Linked DNA regions of Diceros bicornis minor. The protein of the gene in region 1 purifies or fractionates together with the protein of each later gene. This does not show direct contact. Links are inferred from orthologs where the notes say so. Each region holds a gene or a part of one and is shown on either strand. Other genes may lie near its edges. The genes, in order: ANAPC15, ANAPC1 and ANAPC7.

Region 1 (6,982 bases):
TCCTGGCAGCAGCTGAGGAGGTGCCCGAGGGTGAGCTTTCAGGCACTGGGGCGATCAGCTGGTTCTGCAGGGGGTGCAGGGTAGGTTGGACTGGCCTGGAATCTCCCTGGGGCCACCCTGCCTTGTCTACCTAGATCATCCACTGGTCCTGATCCTGTTCGTTGCCTTCCATGTCCACCTGGAGAGGAGGCTGGGTGTGGGTGGGGAGGGGCCTCAGCCACCCAGCCAGCCCCCATCCCAGATCCTACCCGTGGTTGGATCCAGGGTGCCTGTACCCCTCGGCCGCCAATTAGGTCAGGGGCAGGGGCCCAGGAGCAGCGGCCCTCCCCCACACCCCCGCCTACCTCATTGACCTCTCCATCATCAGGTGACTCGTTGTAGTCATTCATCTCATCCATGTCCTGCATGTCCTCATCATCCTCTGAGTCCTCTTCACTATCCTCGTCATCGTCTTCATCTTCCTCTTCCTCGTCATCATAGTGCTGGTGAGGCAGGGGACAGCCTGTAGGCTCTACAGGCCTGGCTGGACAGTTCAAAGGCTGGCCCACTTGGAGCCTCTCTCTGGGGCCAGTGAATGACCCCTACTCCCCAAATCTGCCCTCCCCGAGTCTAGCAGGCTGGTGCATGTTCTGCAGGACCTTAGTGCTGGGCCCAATGCCCACCCCCTCTATCTCCTCTTTCTGGCTTCCATCCAGAGCTGAGGACCACAATTGCTCCAAGGTCAGGGGCAGAATTAGAACAGAGCCTTAGTCCCCACACAGGCCCCACCTGCTGGGGCTACTCACCTCTGAGGCTGGCTTGCCAATAGGTACCAGGTTGTTGTCTTTCTCTGCGATGCTCTGGAGCTGTGGCCAAAGTGGGAGGAGAGCAGGGCCAGGGCCCAAGCAAGGCAGGTCAGGGGCATGGGACGGGCCCACGCTGCCCCCAAGAAGACCCCCAACAATGGAAGAGAAGCTTCCTTCCAGTTCTCAGGAAGATTCAATACCTTTCTCTCCTATCATCTGCCACTTACTTATGAACTTGGTCCAACTACGTAAACTCTCAGGGCCTTGGTTTCCTCATAAGATTATGGTGAGGGTGAAGTGAGAGACTATTAGCCTAGAACATGGCATCTGCTAGGTCCTCAAAAAATAGTCAAAATTATTATTTCCTATGCTTTAGGGAAAAGAGCCTGGGCTCCAATCTGGACCAGAGATCCCATGGTCCTGCAGCAAATTAGGGTAACACAAAGATGAGAATCTAGGCCCCCTAGCTCCCAGTCTGATTCTTCCCAGCTCAGGGCAAAAAGCTCCTCCAGGGCAGGTCTCCAGAGTGAGGCTGGGTCATGGCCAGTGAAGGGAGGGGGGTCCCTGACTGAGGCTCCACCACTGTGCTAGGTCCTCACTCACCCAGGCCTGATGCTGCTGTTCTTGCTGTTGCAGCTCTGTCTCCTCCACACAAGGTCGATCCAGATTAAACCACAGTGTCTCAGTCACACGGGGGAAGAGTGAGGGGAACAAGGTGGACATGGCTCCTAGACTGAGGGAAAGGATCAGGTGAATCCAGCTCTCAGATATGTTTGGTTTTGGTTTTTATTTTGTTACAGTTTGATTTGGGGATGGGGTGGAGTGGAAGGTAGCAGGGAAGCAGCCCTTCCCTGTGGGAATCAGACAGACCTGGGTTTGAGTCTTGGGTCTGCCACTTACTAGCTGTTTGACCTTGGCCAAGTCACTTAACCTCTCTGAGCCTCAGTTTCCTCATCTGTAAAATGGGGATAATAACAATTATACCATCCTCACAGTTATTCTGATAATTAAGTAACTTGCTTTATGGATAAGTAAAGCTGTTTGTAAGCTGTTCAAGGAGGAAAGAGAATGGGAGCCAAATGCAGAGCTAGGAATCCACAATGCAGACTGGCATTACAAAATTATACAAAATTAGAGGTAGCTGGGCTCTACTGACACACTTTCTACCTCCTTCAAAGACTAAGACCTACTGTTTGCCCTCTATGATGGTCCATACCATACCCACCCAGTGTCAGAAATTTAGGACACTAACCATGTCTCATGAACCACAGCCAACCTGGGGGGGGGACAACGGGGGGGGGGGGGACGGGGAGTTACTCCGTGCAAGTATGGTTCAGTGAGACATTCTAAAGGCATGAGTAAATGGATAAATAAGTAGATAGAAGGTTGAATGGATGAACTAACGTGAGAGAACAAATAAATTCAACTCGGATGCAGTAGCTGAGGGAGATGACCCACAGAAAGGTCCCAGAGAATCTGAATTAAAATCTTTTGGCTCACAGGAAAACAGGCGCAGCGACAGGCAACGACTGGCTGGTTCTAGGTCACAGCGTGAGTTGGGGTATAGAACTCCCCCGGGAAAGAGATCCAGGCCCGGCACTAGAGGATATGAACAGGAGAAAAGGATCTACAGCAAGTTCTGCTTTTGCCCTAACTTATTTGACCGATCTGGGGCCAGCCGCTGCCCTTCCGTGGACCCCAGCTGCCCAACCCGTGTAACAGGTACAACAGCACCCATCCTCACGTCCCAGAAGTACTAAGAGGCCAGACAGAGACAGAAGCCGAGGCTTCCAAAGCCCAACCCCTCGCCGCAAAGCCGCCGCCCATTTTTTGCTTATTATTTACGATCGTGGGCTTGACCAACAGGAAGAAGGCAGAGGCGGGACTCAGACGGGCATTTGTCCTTATAGGGCTGCTAAACGCGAAAGGAGCGGGACCTGAGGAGGGCCAATTAACTGGAAGAAATGCTGCGTGACAGGAAGTGACACCAATGAGTGACGGACTTTGTGTGGCGGGGTGGGGCTTAGTCTCGACGAAGCAGCCAATGAGCTAGAACTCTTTAACGTTAAAAGGAGTCTGGACATGGAGCTCCTGAGGAGGCGAGTCAAGGGAACGGGGTTTCCCTGGGGAGGAAGGAAGGGACAGGAGGCAGCAGCCTTAGAGCCTTGCTTCTGTACTTACCGCGCCGGGAGGCGGCAGCCCGCGGCGACCCGGAAGCAGTTGACACTGCCTGAGCGGAAGGACCCACCAGACCCGGGCCACACCAAACGCATGCGTGTTTGTTCTCCTTTTGTTTCCCACTCCCGCCCACCAGACCGGATGTGACGTTACACACCTTAGCACGTTGTCGGGGTGAAAGTTTGCCGCGCCTACTCTATTGGCCCCGCCTTGAGTCTCAGCCAATCGGATTCTCCACCCTGGCCACGCCCCAACGGCCCCAGTGAGCCCCGCCTCTCCGGCCCCAGGCGGTATTTGCTCGCCGACTGGGGCTGAAAAATGCGGTAGCTGGCAGCAGCCAGTGTTAGTGTTAGGGCTGTTTGTCTTGCTGCGTTAGAAGAAAATTAGTCTGCTTCTACCCCAGAATCGCTGGGTGATTTTGCCCCCGTCCTGTCTGTCCTCTCTCACCCTCAGTTTCCCGTTTGGGCGCATACATTCATTTATGTATGCCTTCAACAGAAATATTTGAGTCCCTACTGTATTCCAGGCTCTGCTAGAAGCTGGGTATAAATCTGGGACCATGGTCCCTGCTCCCAAAGACCTCACAGTCCAGTGGGGCAGCCAGACTCTACAGACCTTCAGTGGACTCACTGGTCTCTTAAGATTGCCTGTCCAGTTTTGCATTTGAGGTTGTGCAAGAGCTTGAGTGATTATAGTCAGCCCCAGGCACCGCATTCTGCTGTTGCGGAATTCAGCTGCCCTCTCCAGGCCTGGGCTAAAGACACTTATGAGTAGCCTCGTCATCTCGCCCACTCCTTTCCTGATGCCTTTGTTCTAGTAACCTCTGACTCAGCCTCCCCTTCAGAGATCCTCATGCCTCTTACAACAGAGGTCCTTCCAACCTAACCCCCATTAAGCTCCATCACCCACCAGCCTCTTCAGGGCCGGCAATCATCCTTAGTTCCGCTTCTGCCCCAACCGATGTGTGACCTTTAACAAGTCCTTTCTCCCTGTCTGGACTCAGTTTCCTCTACAACCAGCATCATAATCTCTGCCCAGCTTTCCTCCTATCCTTGGTTGATGTGAGGATTTGATGATTACGTTTTTGTGTGTGTGTGTGAGGAGACCAGCCCTGTGCTAACATCTGCCAATCCTCCTCTTTTTTTGCTGAGGAAGACTGGCCCTGGGCTAACATCTGTGTCCATCTTCCTCCACTTTATATGGGACACCGCCACAGCATGGCTTGCCAAGCAGTGCGTGGGTGTGCGCCCTGATCGAACCCTGGGCTGCCGCAATGGAGCGCGTGCACTTAACCGCTTGCCCCACCGGGCAGGCCCGAGGTTATGTTTTTAAGAGGTAGTGTAGGGGCCGGCCCACGGCTTAGAGGTTAAGTGCACGCGCTCTGCTGCTGGTCGCTGGGTTCAGATCCTGGACGTGCACCGACGCACCGCTTGTCTGGCCATGCTGTGGCAGCATCCCACATACAGCAACTAGGAGGATGTGCAACTATGACATACAACTATCTACTGGGGCTTTGGGGAGAAAAAAGGAGGAGGATTGGCAATAGATGTTAGCTCAGGGCCGGTCTTCCTCAGCAAAAAGAGGAGGATTGTCATGGATGTTAGCTCAGGGCTGATCTTCCTCATACACAGAAAAAAAACATTGTAAAAAAAAAAAGAGGTAGTGTACTGTGCATATCCATGTGATGATGTTTCCAAGCAGCTCTGGTTGTTATCAAGTTTTTCATTAAAGAGTAAAATTTGCGTCTTGGAAATGTCCACCCTTTTTATTCGTTAATTCAACAAATACCTATTGAGTGCCTTACTATATGCCTGCCACTATTATAAGTAGTGGGTATACAATGGTAAACAGACCCCCCCAAAATATCTCTCTCCTCATGCAACTTCCATTCTAATGAGAGAGATAAACAATAAAGAAGATAGATAAGTAAAATATATAGCCTTAAGATTGCAGTAAATACTAAGGAGAAAAAATAAATCAGAGAAATAGGAATAAAAGCTGGCAGGGGAGATGTTTTATTTTAGGTGGGGGGCCAAGGAAGACCTTCCTGGGAAGGTGACTTTTGAGTAAAGTTCTGAAGAAAAAGAGACAAAGAGAGCACTATTCTGATATTTAGGGAAGAGCATTTCAAGGAGAGAGCAAGTACAAAGGGCCTAGAATGGCTGCAGCATAGTGTACTATGGGGAAAGGAGGAGGAGATGAGGACGTGAGGTAGCAGGAGCCAGATAGTACAGCCCTGCAGGTCATAATAAGGAGTGTGACTTTTACTCCATGTTGAGGATCCTGTGAAGGGTTTTGAGCAGAGGATCCACACAATCTGATTTACATTTTAACAGAGTTACTCTGTTCCATGAAGAAAAGATTCAGGGGGGACAGTAGCAGAAGCAGGGAGACCAGTTGGGAGCCTATTATAATAGTCCAGAGGTGGGGATGAGAAATGGTTGAACTTTGAATATATTAAGAAGTTAGAGACAACAAACTTTGCTGACAGATTGGATGTAGAGCATCAGAGGAAGAAAGGAGCCAAGATTTTTGTCGTGAACAACTGGAAGACCGGTGTTGCCATTTCTTGAGATGGGAAAGACAAGGGAGTTGCTGGTTTTTTGGGAAACTCTCTGCAGCTCATTTTTGGGCATGTTGAGTTTGAGATGCCCCTTAGAGTAGAGATGTTGTGGGGGCAGGAGGGCTATGGGTTTGAAGGTCAGGGGAGAGATCTAGGCTGGAGGTATCAATTTGGGAGTCATCAGCACATAGACGGTAGTTAAAGCCACGAGACTGGATGAGATCACCAAAGGAGTGAATGTAGATGGAAAATAGTTTCCATCAAAATTCAGAATTTGAGGAAACCAGGAGAAGCAGTGAATCAGACTGAGAAGGAGGGCCAAAAGGATAAGTAGAAAGCCAGGCGAGTTGGGTGGTATCATGGAAGCCAAGTAAAGAAGGGGTATCAGGAAGGTGGTAGTGCTCCTCTACAGCCTAGTTCTGTTGTTTGTTTCTGTTTGTTTCCCCAGCAGACCATAAGCTTCTTGAGGGCACACACTGGGTGGTGTCTATGTCTCCAAGACATAGACCTGACACAGCCTGACCTCTCTCTTCTCCTGGGTCCCTTATCTGCTCCCCCTGTGGCCTGTGTCCCCATCAGTCTCTCCTCTTGCTTCTTTCCCTTATACGATCCCTCCCTCCAGCACCCTTCGCCTCCCATCCTTCCTGACAAGCTCTGGCCTGATGGAACTTCCCCAATAACCTAGAGTTTCTTAACGAGGTCCTCAGCCAGATTCAACAAGTCACGGTGACTAGTTAGCCAGGGGAGGGGAAAAGGGAGAGGGAGAAGTGGAAATTTTGGGCAATTCTCCATTTTTGTCTCAGGCAACTGAGTCAAATATGGTGCCATTTGTTTTACATCATTATCCATCATTTGTCCTTGCCAAGTGTTTCACTTTCTTTCATTTCAAGAATAATAAAACTAAGACTCTGAGAGGTTAAGAAATTTGCCTCATATTCCTTCATTTGTTCCAGTGTTTGGTCAACATTTATTGAGTACCAGACATCTTGATAGGCCCTGTGGAAAGAGAGATGAAGCAGAAATAATCCCTGTTCTAGAGAAAAATACAGTCTAATGAGGACTAAGACAATTAGAGAAGAGGGTAGTAAATGTTAAAATCAATGTATGTAGAGAGTGTTATGAGAGCACAGAGTGGGGAGAGATGAATGGGTCCTAGATAAACTGAGTTTAGATTTTTGTTCCAGGGAAGGAAACATTTGAGTGGGCCTTGAGGGATGAGTAGGAGTTCACCCAGTAGACAAATGAGAGAAGGGGATGCACAAAGAGTCATGTTACATGCCAGGGCATGAGTTGAAAGCAGATAATGTGTTTGGAGAACAGTGAGAATCCTTTTGGGGAGAACTAGGTGTCTGGGGACAGAGAGAGAGATGAGAAAGAATGTTAAGAGGACTCAGATGAGGAAGGGCTTTGATGGCCCTAAGATGGAGTGGATGGGATGGGAGCCAGGCATCCTGGG
Region 2 (7,717 bases), on another chromosome or scaffold:
CCAACCTCAACTACCCACCGTTACATGGGAAAGCCTCTACACCTGGGATTAGTTAGGCACCAACAATGGCTAAGAATACCTTTATCATGGAAGGATTTGAGAAAGTATTTCTTTGGTGGTTGTTCGTACGTTACCAGGGCTTTCATCCCCTCCACAGAATGACTGCTTGGTGCCATTTGTAGCTAATGTCCCCATTCAGTAACATACAATAACATATTCACTGTACTATGAAAAGTCCCTCACAGGCACCATTTCAACTCTTGCTTCTACTAATTTAGCAATTATAGCAATAGCAACGAGACCCAGAGGCTTAAAATAGTAAAATATTGCTGGTTAAAATCAGATTGGGAAGCAAGAACTTGATACAAAGGGTACTAGTCAATTACTCTTTGATTATATCAGACTTGCCTCTGTAAAACGGATGATTGAATCCAATCTTTTATTACTTAGTTTCCCTATACCACCTACTCTCAATTTAATCTATAATTACAACTCTCTCAAATTATTGCGTTTTTCTTAGGGGAAGTGAGTTATTGAGATTTGAAAAGGTAGCATTTAAATTGTGGAATCAAAATATTGTAAACCCTCTCTTTGAGAAGGAAAAATTTCAAATCAGAAATACAAACTTCCCCTTTAAGATGGGACAAGCTTTGATTAAATGAATAGAACCCCTAATTTTCCAGATTTTTAGACTTCCTGTTTGTTCAGCGCAATGCTACAAATTGCCCCTGGTCTCAAAACTATTTTTACAAACACCTTGTGAGATATAAAGTTGGGCCAGCCAGGCTAGCCAGAAGTTTGAAATGGAGAAGATGTGTTTTATATGCTGTGGCGTTCATTTCTCTTAAATATCCCAATACCCAAGGTCCCAGAAGTAAGAGTTTGCTCAGATGTGTATAAGACTACCTTTTATCATTTCAAATTAGGGTGACTAGTAGTCTCTGTTTGTCTAGGATGTCTGGTTTTAAAACTGAAAGTCCCATGTCCTGGGAACCCTCGATCCTGGGAAAACTGGGATGGTTGGTCACCCTACTTCAAGTATAAATCCTAACCCCATGCCTGAATTGACTTCAAGTTTGTGAACCAGGTATTGGAAGTTGAATAAATTCAGAAAACATGGTTATGTGACAGTTCATTAATTGTACCTGTTGTTCACCACTTACCATGTAAATGAACTGGTAATGAACCTCATTTTTTTTTTTTCCTTTGTCCTTTTTTTCCTTTGTCCCCTGACTTTTGGGTGCTGTTTTTCCAACCCTATAAAAATCAAGTGTGGTTTCAGGGGTTTGCGAAGCAGCTTGTCTTCCCTGTCTCTCCTCTGCAGTAGTAGTTAAAAAACACCAAACTTTGCTTTAACAAAAATCTGTTGGGTAGTTTCTGAGACTATGAGATTGTTGAGAACTGGAGGGTGAGATGGGGTCAGCCGCCGGGTCCTTTGCAGGCCTGGTGGAGAGGCAGCTGTAGGGCCCTCTGCAGACCCAGAGGGGAAGGGCTGAGGGCAGGCAGCTGCGAGGGCTCAGAGGAGAGGAGTCTGGCAGCCATTTCACCCTCCTGGCTAAAATGGGTAGTTTAGGGCCTTATATACTATCAGACAGATATTGGAGACCGTAGTGGGCTGCTTCTGAGATGGCCCCCAGTGATCCCTGCGTCTTTGTGTAATCCCCTCCCTGAGCGTGACTTGCTCCTGACCCTCAAAGGTGATCGGCTGTTACTCTTGTGATCAGATTGTCTACGATCGCGACTGACTTCTTGCTGGCAGACTCTATTGCCCTCTTGGCTTGCATACTTTGATGATGTTGGGGAACCCTGTGCGGCAAGGAACTGTGGGTGGCCTCTGGTTGCTGAGGGCAGCCTCTGGCTGACAGCCAGCAACATACCAAAGCCCTTAGTCCTTTAACCACAAGAAACTGAATTCCAAGCGAGCCTGGAAGCAGAATTTTCTCTGGTAAGCCTTGGATGAAACCACAGTCCCAGGCAACACCTTGACTGCAGCCTTGTGAGACTCTTAAGCACAAGACCTATCTGGGCCTGGACTCCTGACCCACAGAAATTGTGACAATAATAAATAGGTTATTTTAAATCACCAAGTTTGTGGTAATATTATTATGCAGCGATAGCTACTAATGCAGAGACGTATATTTTATTACAGATTAAAAGTGAGAAATAGGGATTGTATTCAATTTTTTTTTCTTTCATGAGGAAGATCCTCCCTGAGCTAACATCTGCCAACCCTCCTCTTTTTTTTGCTGAGGAAGACTGGCCCTGGGCTAACATCCGTGCCCATCTTCCTCCCCTTTACATGGGACGCGGCCACAGCATGGCTTAACAAGCGGTGCGTCGGTGCACGCCCGGGATCCGAACCAGTGAACCCTGGGCCGCTGCAGCGCAGCGCGCGCACTTAACCGCCTGCACCACTGGGCCTGCCCCTGTATTCAATTTTTTGCATACCAATCATATAGAGAGAATTTTGCTAACTACTGGGGTGAGTACATCAGCAAAAGAGGTCTAGTGTATAATATTGGATATATGTGTATCTGTATCCAAGATGCAATCTCAGGCGCCCACAAGGGAATTCACGCTTGCTTGGAGGGCAGCGGAAATGCAATGAGTTGGCAGCCTGCAGGAGTCTATACCAGGGCTTACGTGTTCTGAGCCAAGTGGATGCCTCAAATGCCAACAGAAGAGAATGGGAGGACGATAGAGACAACGGGAAATAACTCTTCTCTGAAACTCCTGGATTTGTGGTTTGGACCCCATGAGCAGAGAGGTCAGTGGCAGAAGCAGGATTTGCTTTCTTAAGAGACTGTCAAAGCATGAGTCCAAGTGTCGTTAATGACACTGGAGTGCTGCAGGGAACACAGCACTGCTCTGGCACCTGAGGGCCCAAGGTCTTCGGGAGTAGGAGGGGAACTATCAGGACGGACCTTGCTGTCCTCACAGAGGATATCAAGGCTGAGGCCACAGAAAGGCATCTTGAGAGAATTTAGGGAAAGTAAGGGAACAGGCAGGAGGAAGAGCTGGGTGACCCTTTCAGTGATTCTGCTTCACGGATTGCACAGTTGACGGCGTAAGACATGCTTTGTGGATTGCGTTGTCCTAGAAAACAGAGCCCGAGGGAAGTTTGATGAGCGCTGATGCTTTAGCCCAAGATAGAGAGAATGAAGGAAAGGGGAAATGAAGCATGGAAGGATGAGAAGTGCCACACTGGCGCTGCTTCACAACAGGCTGCCAACAATGCAGCAGTCCGCTTGGCAGGTGTGTCCACTCAGCCATACAGGACGTCTCCTGACAGGCTGTGCGGAGAAACTTTGCCTTAGAATAGTCCACCAGAGAGAGAAGAAAAGGGAATTTACTTGTCTGGTTCCTTCCTGCCTTGTTCTTATTGATCAGTTTGCCTTCATTAAAATTTGCTCCTTGTATCCTCAGGCCAGGGAAGTCTGGGGATATTTTGGTTTCAGGTAAATGACTACAGTGAACAGGTCTTCTCAGAGTTCTAAGAGAGGCTCTGTCTTAGTTCTCTTGGGCTTCTATAACAAAAATACCATCAACTGTGTGGCTTATAAACAAGAAATATTTATTTCTCATAGTTCTGGAGGCTGGGAAGTCCAAGATTATGGTGCTGGCAGATTCGGTGTCTGGTGAGAGCCCACTTTCTAATTCACGGACAGCTGTCTTTTTGCTGTGTCCTCACTTGGTAGAAGGGGCCAGGGAGCTCTGTAGGTCTCCTTATAAGGGCACTAATCCCATTCATGAGGGCTCCACCCTCATGATCTAAGCACCTTCTGAAGGTCCCACCTCCTAACACCATCACATAGGGCATAGTTTCAACTATGAATTTTTGGGGGGACACACACATTCAATCCTCAGTAGGCTCCTGTTGGAGTGAAGCCTTCTAAGGAGGTATCTGAGCTAAACCCTGAACGTGGACATTCCAAATCAAGGGATGAGAATGAACTGAGATACCAAGGCCACACACTGCAAGGTGTTTTCGGGAAGCCCAGTGGACAATTTTAGTGCCGACATACGGTTTCTGCCAACTTTACATTTCTGGATAAAGAATTTGAACTTTTCTTAGGCAACAGGGCGCCTGTCAATAATTTCAACCTAGAGACACCACGCAATGGGAGATTAGAGCTCAAGAGAGTTTGCTCCTTTCCCAAGTGCGCTAATTGTACAGCTGACTCCACAGACGCGGAAGGAAGGATAAAGCTGGGATTCTTAACCTGGGTCTGCGACGCTCAGAAATTGCACACAACGTGTTCGCGAGGCCTCCATACGCTTCATCAACTTTTCAAGGGGCCTGGACCCCAAAGGGTTAAAATGCACTGGCATAAAGAGATAATCAGCAGTCCCCTCGTCGGGTCGGGAGACAGGAGCGAAAACAGCCAGGATATCCCCTAATTCAGAGTTGGGAAGCAGTTCGAGCTCGTAGCGACATGACCTGGAGCCACTCTGCTACGGGGGTCCAATCACAGGACAGACTGGAACAGAGACTTCCCCGCTTCGGGGCTCGGCGCCACGCTAACAAAGATGGAAGTACCCAGCAACTTCCGCTCCGCGCATTCTTCCCGCAACTGCGCAGGCGTCAGGACCGCGGGACTGGCGCGAGCCTCCCGCGATGTCCCGCCCCGCCCCGGCGCGAGGCAGGACGGGAAAGCCAAGATGGACGCGTCCATTTGAACGTCTCGCCTGAGTGGGTCGCCTGCACGCTTGCCTCTCGTCAGCAGTCGCGCCCGCAGCCGCTGCCCCTTCTTCCTCCGGAATAGGGGAGGAGGAGGGGATGAGAAGCTGCGGCGGCCGAGGAGTCACCGTGAGCGACCCTGCCGCTGCCCTCGGGCCCCCTTGGCCCTCGCGCCTCCGGGGAGCAGCCGGGGCTCGCCGCGCCTGACGCGTCCCGAGTGACACAGGTGCGGGCCCGGGCCCGCAGCGCCCGGTGGTTCCTCGCGCGTCCCCTGACCCTCGGGCCCGCTGACCCGGAGCCGAGGGGGCCCGGGCCTGCGGGCTGGGCTTTCGGGGGTGCCCCTCTCCGCTGCACGCCTCGCCGACTTCCTTCCTGAGCTAAGCGCGGAGTCCCACGTGGGCCCGAGCTCCTGCATCGGCCCCTTGTCCTTCTGACAGGATTTTCTGAAACCCAGGCCCTTAGCCTGTTGGTTTCGCTTAACCCTAGGAGGCCGACGAAGCTCTGCCTTTTTGCGAAGACTCAACTCAAGGTGCCTTTTGTGTGCATTTGGGTCTCCTCTTGAAGTAGCTTTGCGGTTACCTTTGGCAGGGTTGTTTTTGTTCCTAGTAAGCCGTGCTGGTATCTCGACTTACAGCGTGTCACCTTAAGATAGTACTTTCGTATGTACCTGTGTATGTTGCCCTAGTAAGTAAAAGCATAAAAGTTTGGGATACTGTAAAATTTTTTAATGTTAACCTTTATCAGGGCAAAGAGAAACTGTACTGTGAAAATAATTGTATGATTAACAATTTTGTAATTTTCTCTCAAAGTTTTAATGGAATAACATTTCAAAATTACACAACTGAAGTTGGATAAAGTGGCAAGTTCTTAAGTGTTGGTTAACCTGTTGACTAGAATATAGGAAGACGAGCTGAATTTTGCTGTTTTCTTGTAAGTTTTATAAGGCACTATTTTAGTTATGTCCCAAGTTCAAGTGTTCTCAGTTCTGAGCTTTAGCAGGAGGAAAATAAAAGTCATGATTGTGACATACAGTCATGTCAGGAATAACATTTAATTCATAGCAGAATAACTTTGTGACTCTAGAGGAGCTGTGTAGAAACTACAGAGGCTTTGAGATGTTGCAGCAAAGAAAACTGATGCCAGAAAGAGCTCAGATGAGATATCTAAATCAAACTTAATTAAACTCTAATTGTGAGCCCTGTTTCAGATGCTTTCTAAAGGTTGTCTATAGTGCTGACATCACGTTTGTTTTGATTTCTGTGTCTGAGGATTGCAGTTTAAATGTGATCACGCAAAACCCATTTTTAATGTAGGTGTTGTGTTGGAGACAGGACTGGCATCCACCTTACAAACAAGATTATACAGTGTCAGAATTTTAGTTCTAGCTGTTAGTTACTATATGTAGAAATGTATTGGAGGTAAAGGGACTTGTTTCCACTCACAGCCCATCCACATCTTTGTATAATGAACTGTACTGTAATAGATTATGTTAATTAAAAACTAGGACGCTTAAATTTGCTACAAGCATGACTGTTCCATGGCCAGAGTTATTCATGCCTTGGTTCCCTGGGTTTGGACAAAGAATTCGAATTGATTGTAGTCATGTATTTAGGTGAATGGGGGTGTGAAAACTACTGATGACATTTGATAGTTTATTACCTGTTTTGTGGATTGGTCAACTGAAAGCAATAGTTCAACTTGTGAGGAATTAGAAATAATATGTGGGTTTTTTTTTTTATTTGTTTCATTCCAATATACCAGTGATCCTCTAGGTGTGCTTTTCAAATGAGGTTCCAGCATCTGTATAGAAATGACCTTAAATGTTGAGAAGCACGGCAGTCATGGGACTATAAAGTACAACTATAAAAAAGTACAACTATATAAAGGACAGCTTGTCTAAATACTTTCTGTGTGAAGTGTGGAAAAATTAGCGTATAGTGGTAGGAAACATAGGATAGGTGTTGTGGGGCATAAGTGCTTGTCTCAGCCCAGTGGTTTCTGACAGCGGTAACTGTCTGTTGGTCAGTCTGCAACTACAGTGTGGTGATAACTGTAATTACCTGAAAGAGTCAGATCTGGAATGCCCTTTGATGTTGATTACTTATACACCTGCAATATAATAGGATTATTTGACACTCAGCTAAGAATTAATGACTCTTCGTAAACTTTTGTGATATTTTTATCCTGGTTTTGACTCTAGAAGCTGACCAGAATGTGTTTGAATTCATACAGAAATAATGTTGATATTTGGAACCCATGTCGAACTTCTATGAAGAAAGGGCAACAATGATTGCAGCCGGGGATTTGCAGGAATTTGTTCCTTTCGGTCGAGACCACTGCAAGCACCACCCTAATGCTTTGAACCTTCAGCTTCGCCAGCTGCAGCCAGCCTCTGAGTTGTGGTCTTCTGATGGTGCTGCTGGTTTGGTGGGATCCCTTCAGGAGGTTACAATCCACGAGAAACAGAAGGTTTCATTCAGTTTCCCATTATATTTTGAAATGTAGAGTGGTGTAATCTGCTTGTAATTTAAGGCTACCCAGATGCAACTGAGAAATGAGTGTGATGCTGTTTCTAGGGTAGAGGTTCAGATTTGGTCATTTTAAACAAGGCTAAAATAATGACTTGATTGTATTATAGTGTCATAGCTGTTTATTTAGACATATAACTCATGGTTTTACAATGAGAGTCAAGTTCAGTACTGTGATTATGGTCCATTTTAAGCCTCTTTCTCTTCTCTTGGTACGTGGGGACCAGATTTCATGTTACTTGATGATTAGATGTTAGAGTTAGAAAGGGTCCCTGCTACAGAAAACTTAGTTTGTAGAGGAGAAAAAAATGCTACATAAGTAGAGTAGTAGTTCTTAAATAAGGGGATGAGATGTAAGTTTGTGTCAGAAAATCAATCTTTCCTGTCTTATTCCGTTTTCATATCCCTTTGGGATACCAAATTCTCAGGGGGGAAAGTTTATGTAGTTAGAAATGTCAACCTTTCTCTCTCCCATTCATTTTGGTGGGTGGGATAAGGGAGGAAGGTG
Region 3 (6,952 bases), on another chromosome or scaffold:
TTTTTTTCTTTTTTTTAATGTACAAAAGTAAACTGTACTTGCACTAGAGGAAAATTTATCTCCTTGAGTCTCAGGGGCTTAAGGACAGTGTAAGGAACCAATACGTTTCACAACTTTTTCTTTAACCTTGAATATTGTTCACAAGTGTTATAACTGCCTAGAAGCTGGCCACTATTCTTAATGGAAAATCCATTTTTAATCTCTGACCCACCCCTCCCCCACTTCTTCTCAAATTGAGTAGTTTACACGTTTTTGACAGGTAAAAGCTACAGCCGCTTAAAATGAAAAAACAGTCAGAGTTACAGAACTCTGCAGACAGTTAATTTCTCAACAAATGAAAGATATTCAAGAACAGGTACTATAGTTGCCAGGGCCTGGGGAAAGCAGAATTGGGGAGTGACTACTAACAGATACCAGCTTTCTTTTTGGGGTAATAAAAATGTTTTGGAATAGACAGTGGTAATGGCTGCACAACTCTGAATATACTTAAAACCACAGAAATGTATTTTCTAAAAGGGTGAATTTGACAGTATGTGAATTTTATCTTAAAAAAAAGAAAGGATAGGTAGGCTAAACACGGGATATAAAGTTACAAAGGAAAGTCAAGGACAAAGGTATAGTCCAGAGAGTTAAGATCTCTTCCAACTCTGAGATTCTATGTACTTAGTGAGAAATAAGATTGGATAGAAAATATTACTACACTCAGAGAAAGCATTCAGATATTTATATATTGTAACATACATGCCTACTTATGCATGCATAAGTCATCTCTGGAATGATACATAAGAAACTGTTAATAGGGTCAGCCCGGTGGCTTAGAGGTTAAGTGCGCGCGCTCCGCTGCTGGCAGCCTGGGTTCGGATCCCGGGCGCGCACCGACGCACTGCTTCTCCGGCCATGCTGAGGCCGCATCCCACATACAGCAACCAGAAGGATGTACAGCTATGACAGACAACTATCTACTGGGGCTTTGGGGGAAAAATAAATAAATAAAATCTTTAAAAAAAAAAAAAAGAAACTGTTAATAGTTGTTGCCTTTGGAGAAGTGAAATGGTGGGGTGAGGGTCAAAACTCAGGGACAGACACTTATCTGCATACCCCTTTTGCACTGTTTGAATTTTTTTTACCATGTATATTGCCAATTTAATTTAAAATATTAATGATAAAGGTCAGAATTTAAATGCCTCCTAAAGCTAGGAAACCGCCAGTTTAACCTATTATGAAGAAGCATGGGCTAACTAAGTCTAGTCCGAGGATCAAACTGCTTCTAACTACCCTGTAACATCTTCCGGAACTAAGAGTAATGACTAACTGGTGTATAAATTTCCAATGGTGGAAACTGTGTGCCTTGACAAATCACTCAGAACCAAGTGAAAGACTCCAGAACAAACACAGACGGCTGACAGAGACCAGGGCTCCTCACTGTCAACACTAAATGAATGGTGGCAAAATGACGGGTCTCAAGTAGCAAGGCCCAAAAGCACAGTAATGGAAATGAAATCGGGAGCAGTGGCTGCATCGCAGGCACTTGAGGGGCTTTTCCTTTCTAACCTAGACAGCTTCTAGAGCAAGCCAAATGCAATGGGTCCACCTTGGGTAGGAGATTCAGTTATAATGCCACTGAGAGGCAGTAAACTGCGGTGGGTCAGAATAGAGACTTTCTAAAGTCAGAAGGACCAAAATGCAGACATCGTGGCTCCTCCACTTACTAGATGTGTGTGAAATCAGAAACAGTATTTCACCTCCCTAAGGTTGTATGCACTTCCTTAGCACATTCAAAAAACGTACGAATGCTTATTGCACAGGCACTGTGCTGACTTCATGAGGTGTTACGAGTCACGCAGAATATATGTTTTAAAAGCTCTCATCATAATAAAAAAAAAATTGTAACTGTGTGATGATGGACGTGAACTAGACATTGCGGTAATCATTTCCCAATACACACAAATATCCAAACAATGTTATACATCGATTACATCTCAATTAGAAAAAGAGTGATGCAGAAAATAAAACAGGGCAAAGGGATACATAGTGAGGGGAAGGGACAATTCTGATAGAGAAGAGCTCTCGAGGAAGGATATCTGAGCTGAAACCTGAACGAGGAGGCAGCTCGGAGGGGAGGACTCCAAGCAGAAGAGCCAATGCAAAAGCCCTGAGCTGAGAACGAGCTCGGTGCGTTCCAGCAAGAGAAAGAGGCAGGGAGGCTGGAGTACAGCGAGCAGAGCAGACGAGATGAAGTCGGGGAGAAAGATGCTCGGCCTCTAAGCCATGGGAAGGAACTTTAATTTAAACAGAATGGAGACACTGAAGCACGGCTGCGACAGGCACTCCAGGCTGCACACGGCCCTGTGCTTCCTCCGTCATAAGACTCAATAGACGGCAGCGCGAAAAACAGAAAAGGGGCCCTGCGAGTCCTTAGAAAGGCACCACTCCCACCCAGCCAGGGAGCCCCCCGTTTGCCGAGGAGAAAGTGAACTCTCCTGATACACTCAAGGAGAAAGAGCAATCTCGGGTGGGGGACGAAGGTATAAAACCAGGGGCCGGGAAGGGAAGAGTCGGCCCAGCGATGTGACAGTCGCTATGCCCGGCGACAGGGGCCTCGGGAAACCCTCGCCAGGGTCGCCCTCGGAGCCTCCGCCTTCCGTCTCTCCAAGCCGCCGCTCGCCACATCCCCCGCAGGGAGCGCATCCCAGCGCCCGGCACAACGCGGGGACCCGGCGACCTCAACTTGCGCTCCTGAGCCGGCTCCGCCCGACGAGGCCCTGGCTGACCCCGGAGCTTCAGCTGGGGCCCGCGGCCGCTCCTTCCCGCCACTCCCCGGGCCCCCTCGGCCCCCGCTCCCAAGCCGGCGCCGCTGTCTCCTCAGCCCCAGGCCGCTCCCCGCCTCCACTCACGGGTTATTATTACTCATGGTAAGTAACAAGCTGCTGAGGAGCCGCACGTTGGAGTGCAGCCCCGCGGCCGCCATGTCTCGCACGTGGTCTATCACATTCATCCCGCCCGGCAAGGCCGAGGGCAGCGGCGGCAGCGGCGCGGAGAGCCGGTAGACGCTCCTCAGAGAAGACTCCAAAATGGCGGCCTCGCCGGGGTCCATCGGGCCCACATGCGGCACCGCCCCCAGGAAAATAGGCAACTACTGAAGTGCCTGAATAGAAGAAGAAGAAAAAAAAGAAAAAAAACAAAACTTCTTCCCCCAAGCCCCCTGTGAGGTGGAATGATTTGGTTTTCGGGACTATTGTTTTTGCTTTTGTTTCGTTCTGTTAGCAAAAGTTGCATCATCATTCTAAGCTGCAGACTTTACTGAGGGCTTACAATGGGCTGAGGACAAAAGGCACCTCAGTATGAATATATGCTCAATTGAAATGAGTCTGAGAGGAATCTGTGTCTCCCAGAAGTTAATAAAAATATATGGACAGTTATAAATAAAAGTATAGTAGGGTGCGGGCGGGAAAAATCTCCAACAGCTGGAATTAAATATTTTAATCAGGCGCCAGGGGCAGTCCTAACTGCTTTCAAGTCGCTCTGGCGCACCTGGCTGAAGGTGCCACGCCCCCTCCTCTCAGGTATTGTGTGTACCTGTGGGAGTCAGGCTTCACCTTTGGAGGGACGCCTTGGGTGCAAAAAAGACATGTTTTTACCCTGTGAAATGACTCACTAACTCAGAGTGAATAAAGGCTAGGTTGAGTTTTAGCCATCCTAATATGTGTGTAGTGTTGTTTTAATTTGCAATTCCGTGATGACATATGACGTTGAACGTCTTCTCATAGGCCTATTTGCCATCTGTATCTCTTCTTTGGTGAGGTGTCTGTTTAGATCCTTTGCCCATTTTTCAATCCGGTTGTTGGTGTTCTTACTGTTGGGTTTTAAGTGTTCTTTGCGTATTTTGGATAACAGTCCTTTATCAGATATGTGTTTTACAAATATTTTTTCTGTCTGTAGCTTTTTTTCTCATTCTCTTGACCACTCTCTCTCTTTTACAAAAAACCTACTTTCGGTAATAATCCTGAAATGAAATGACTAATAATAATGGCCAGAAAAGAAACAGCGAAAATATCATTTTCTTAAACTTCATCTAAATAATGATGCCAGTAAAAATTTTAATGAAAAATAAAACAAATATTACAGTACAAAAAGATAACGGATTAGGGCCAGCCCCATGGCTTAGCGGTTAAGTGCACGCGCTCCGCTACTGGCAGCCTGGGTTCGGATCTGGGGGCGCACCGACGCACCGCTTCTCCAGCCATGCTGAGGCCGCGGCCCACATACAGCAACTAGAAGGATGTGCAGCTATGACATACAATAATCTACTGGGGCTTTGGGTGAAAATAAATAAATAAATAAATAAAAATCTTTAAAAAAAAAACTGATCATCTTTGCATATTCATCTTCAATAGGCAGCATAAACAGATTTGTCAATCGTTGGAGCACAGCCATGAAAAGACATGGAGGAAACTTAGCATATTACTAACTGAAATGAAGCCAATCTGAAAAGGCTACATACCGTATGATTTCAACTATTTGACATTCTGGAAAAGATGAAACTGGAGACAGTAAAAAGGTCAGTGGTTGCCAGGAGGTAGAGGGGAGGGAGGAATAGCGGAGCACAGAGGATTTTTAGGGCAGTGGAACTATTCTATATGATACTATAATGGTGGATACATGTCATACATTTGTCAAAACGCATAGAATGTACAACACGGAGAGAACCTAACAGAAACTATGGACTTGGGTGATAATGATGTGTCAGTGTAGGTTCATCAGTTGTAACAAATGTATCACACTGGTGTGGGATGTTGGTAGTGGGGGAGACTGTGCATGTGCGGGGGCAGGGGGTTTATGGGAACTCTTTGCATCTTCTGCTCAATTTTGCTCTGAACCTAAAACTGCTCTAAAAAATAAAGTTTACTAAAAAAAAAAAGAAAGAAAGAAAGAAAAAGGGGAAGGAGGTATAAAAATTGACCTGCTCTGGGTGTCAAACATGCTGTGTATACCGCTGTATCTAACACACTTGGAACAGTGGCTGACACAGAGTAAACACTAACTACATAAATGCTTGCTATCATACTTTTTTCTACATTCAAAATATTTCCTAATGAAAACCACATCTAACAATAGCCAAAAAGTGAAAACAATTCAAATATTCACCAGCTGATGACTATATAAACCAAATGTGGTATATCCATACAGTGTAATTCTATTCAGCAAAAAATAAAAAAAAGAACAAACTTCTGATAACATGGATGAATTTCAAAATTATTATGCTAAAAATAATGCTAGGTGAAAAAAAACAGACGGAAAAAAATCACAATCTCTGACTCCATTTATATGAAACATTCAGGAAAGACAAACTGATAGCAACAAAAAGATTAGTGGTTGCTTGATGGTGAGGGTGGGAAGCGGGAGTGACTGCAAATGAGCAAGAGGGATCTTTTTAGGGTAGATGGAAATGTTCTAAAACTGGATTGTGGTAATTGCTGCACAACTCTAAATTCACTAAGAAATCATTGAATTGTACACTTAAATGGGTGAATTTTAAAGATTTTATTTATTTATGTATTTTCCCCCCAAAGCCCCAGCAGATAGTTGTATGTCATAGCTGCACATCCTTCTAGTTGCTGTATGTGGGACAGGGCCTCAGCATGGCCAGAGAAGCAGCGTGTCGGCGGGTGCCCGGGATCCGAACCCGGGCCGCCAGCAGCGGAGCGCGTGCACTCAACCGCTAAGCCACGGGGCCGGCCCAAAATGGGTGAATTTTATATACCTCAATAAAACCATTAAAAAAATAAACACATCTTTAAGCCACGTGACTCATGAGTCTCCAATTTACCTTCTCCAAGCTACACTGTAATTGCAAAATATAGTTAGGTTTATATCTGGATTGACATCTTACTGTAAAGTCACATATCCACTGATCCTGGAATAAACCAACATTCATAGATTCAAGAAACATTTTTAGGGGCCGGCCCCGTGGCTTAGCGGTTAAGTGCGTGCACTCCACTACTGGCGGCCTGGGTTTGGATCCCGCGCAGTCACCAACCCACCGCTTCTCCGGCCATGCTGAGGCGGCATGCCACATACAGCAACTAGAAGAATGTGCAACTATGACATACAACTATCTAGTGGTGCTTTGGGGAGAAAAAGGGGAAAAAAAGGAGGAGGATTGGCAATAGATCTTAGCTCAGGGCTGGTCTTCCTCAGCAAAAAAAAAAAAAAGAAAGAAACATTTTTAGTTGAAATTGCCATACCTTCTCCTAAAAAGTGATTCATCTCTCCTTTAATGCCTCGATTCTCTGAATGGGAATTATAGTTTGGACAATTCGTTTGATAACTAATGACTTCATTGCCCTATATGCCTCTCCTTCACCATACTTAAATCTGTGATTGTTAATTAACTTTTCTCATCTCTGTACACCTTGTCTCACGAGGGGGCAGAGTGAGTGGGACGCTTCTTTGCATTCCTGACAGGTCTACACCCACCTGGATGACTGGAAACTAACGAGACAGAGGGCCTATCTGTCTTGCACACCATTCTGTGGTCTGTGCCTGGCACATAGTAGGTGTTAACAAATATTCAATAATGGATGAAGAAGAAGCATGAGTCAATGACCTCATCACATAGCTCATTTAATTAAAAGAGTTAAGATATTGATGGTATAAAAAATGCTTTATAAATCATGAAACACTAGACGAACATAATAAATCATTATAATGAGACATTCATTGTTAATTGGTTTCTCCTCTCCTTTCAGCTGCTTCACTGTACATTCATTCAACATATGTTTATTATGCACCTACTGTGTGCCAGAAATTATTCTAGACCATGGGGATATAGCAGGGAACAAAACAAACAAAAATCCATGTTCTTTTAGAGCTGACATTCCAATGAGGGGAGATAAACAACAAATAAGTAATACAAATAGTATAGAAGGTGATAAAATATACTGAAGTATTT

The links.
Region 2: the proteins of ANAPC15 (region 1) and ANAPC1 purify together in Homo sapiens (affinity purification with mass spectrometry; 3 studies listed by BioGRID and IntAct, with this or other methods). This does not show direct contact. The link is inferred for Diceros bicornis minor from reciprocal best matches to the Homo sapiens genes ANAPC15 and ANAPC1.
Region 3: the proteins of ANAPC15 (region 1) and ANAPC7 purify together in Homo sapiens (affinity purification with mass spectrometry; 3 studies listed by BioGRID and IntAct, with this or other methods). This does not show direct contact. The link is inferred for Diceros bicornis minor from reciprocal best matches to the Homo sapiens genes ANAPC15 and ANAPC7.

The regions. Positions count from the first base shown.
Region 1 is NC_080746.1:58,529,755-58,536,736, reverse strand, and holds the start of ANAPC15 (anaphase-promoting complex subunit 15), read right to left. Parts: upstream 3,068-6,982; 5' UTR 3,059-3,067; coding exon 2,967-3,058; intron 2,552-2,966; exon of another isoform or gene 2,286-2,551; intron 1,519-2,285; coding exon 1,389-1,518; intron 846-1,388; coding exon 786-845; intron 483-785; coding exon 345-482; intron 191-344; coding exon 131-190; 3' UTR 1-130. UniProt on the Homo sapiens protein: Component of the anaphase promoting complex/cyclosome (APC/C), a cell cycle-regulated E3 ubiquitin ligase that controls progression through mitosis and the G1 phase of the cell cycle.
Region 2 is NC_080779.1:18,750,122-18,757,838, reverse strand, and holds the start of ANAPC1 (anaphase-promoting complex subunit 1), read left to right. Parts: upstream 1-4,660; 5' UTR 4,661-4,907; intron 4,908-4,933; exon of another isoform or gene 4,934-5,210; intron 5,211-5,490; exon of another isoform or gene 5,491-5,611; intron 5,612-6,913; 5' UTR 6,914-6,937; coding exon 6,938-7,150; intron 7,151-7,717. UniProt on the Homo sapiens protein: Component of the anaphase promoting complex/cyclosome (APC/C), a cell cycle-regulated E3 ubiquitin ligase that controls progression through mitosis and the G1 phase of the cell cycle.
Region 3 is NC_080774.1:8,943,781-8,950,732, forward strand, and holds the start of ANAPC7 (anaphase-promoting complex subunit 7), read right to left. Parts: upstream 3,064-6,952; 5' UTR 2,996-3,063; coding exon 2,895-2,995; intron 1-2,894. UniProt on the Homo sapiens protein: Component of the anaphase promoting complex/cyclosome (APC/C), a cell cycle-regulated E3 ubiquitin ligase that controls progression through mitosis and the G1 phase of the cell cycle.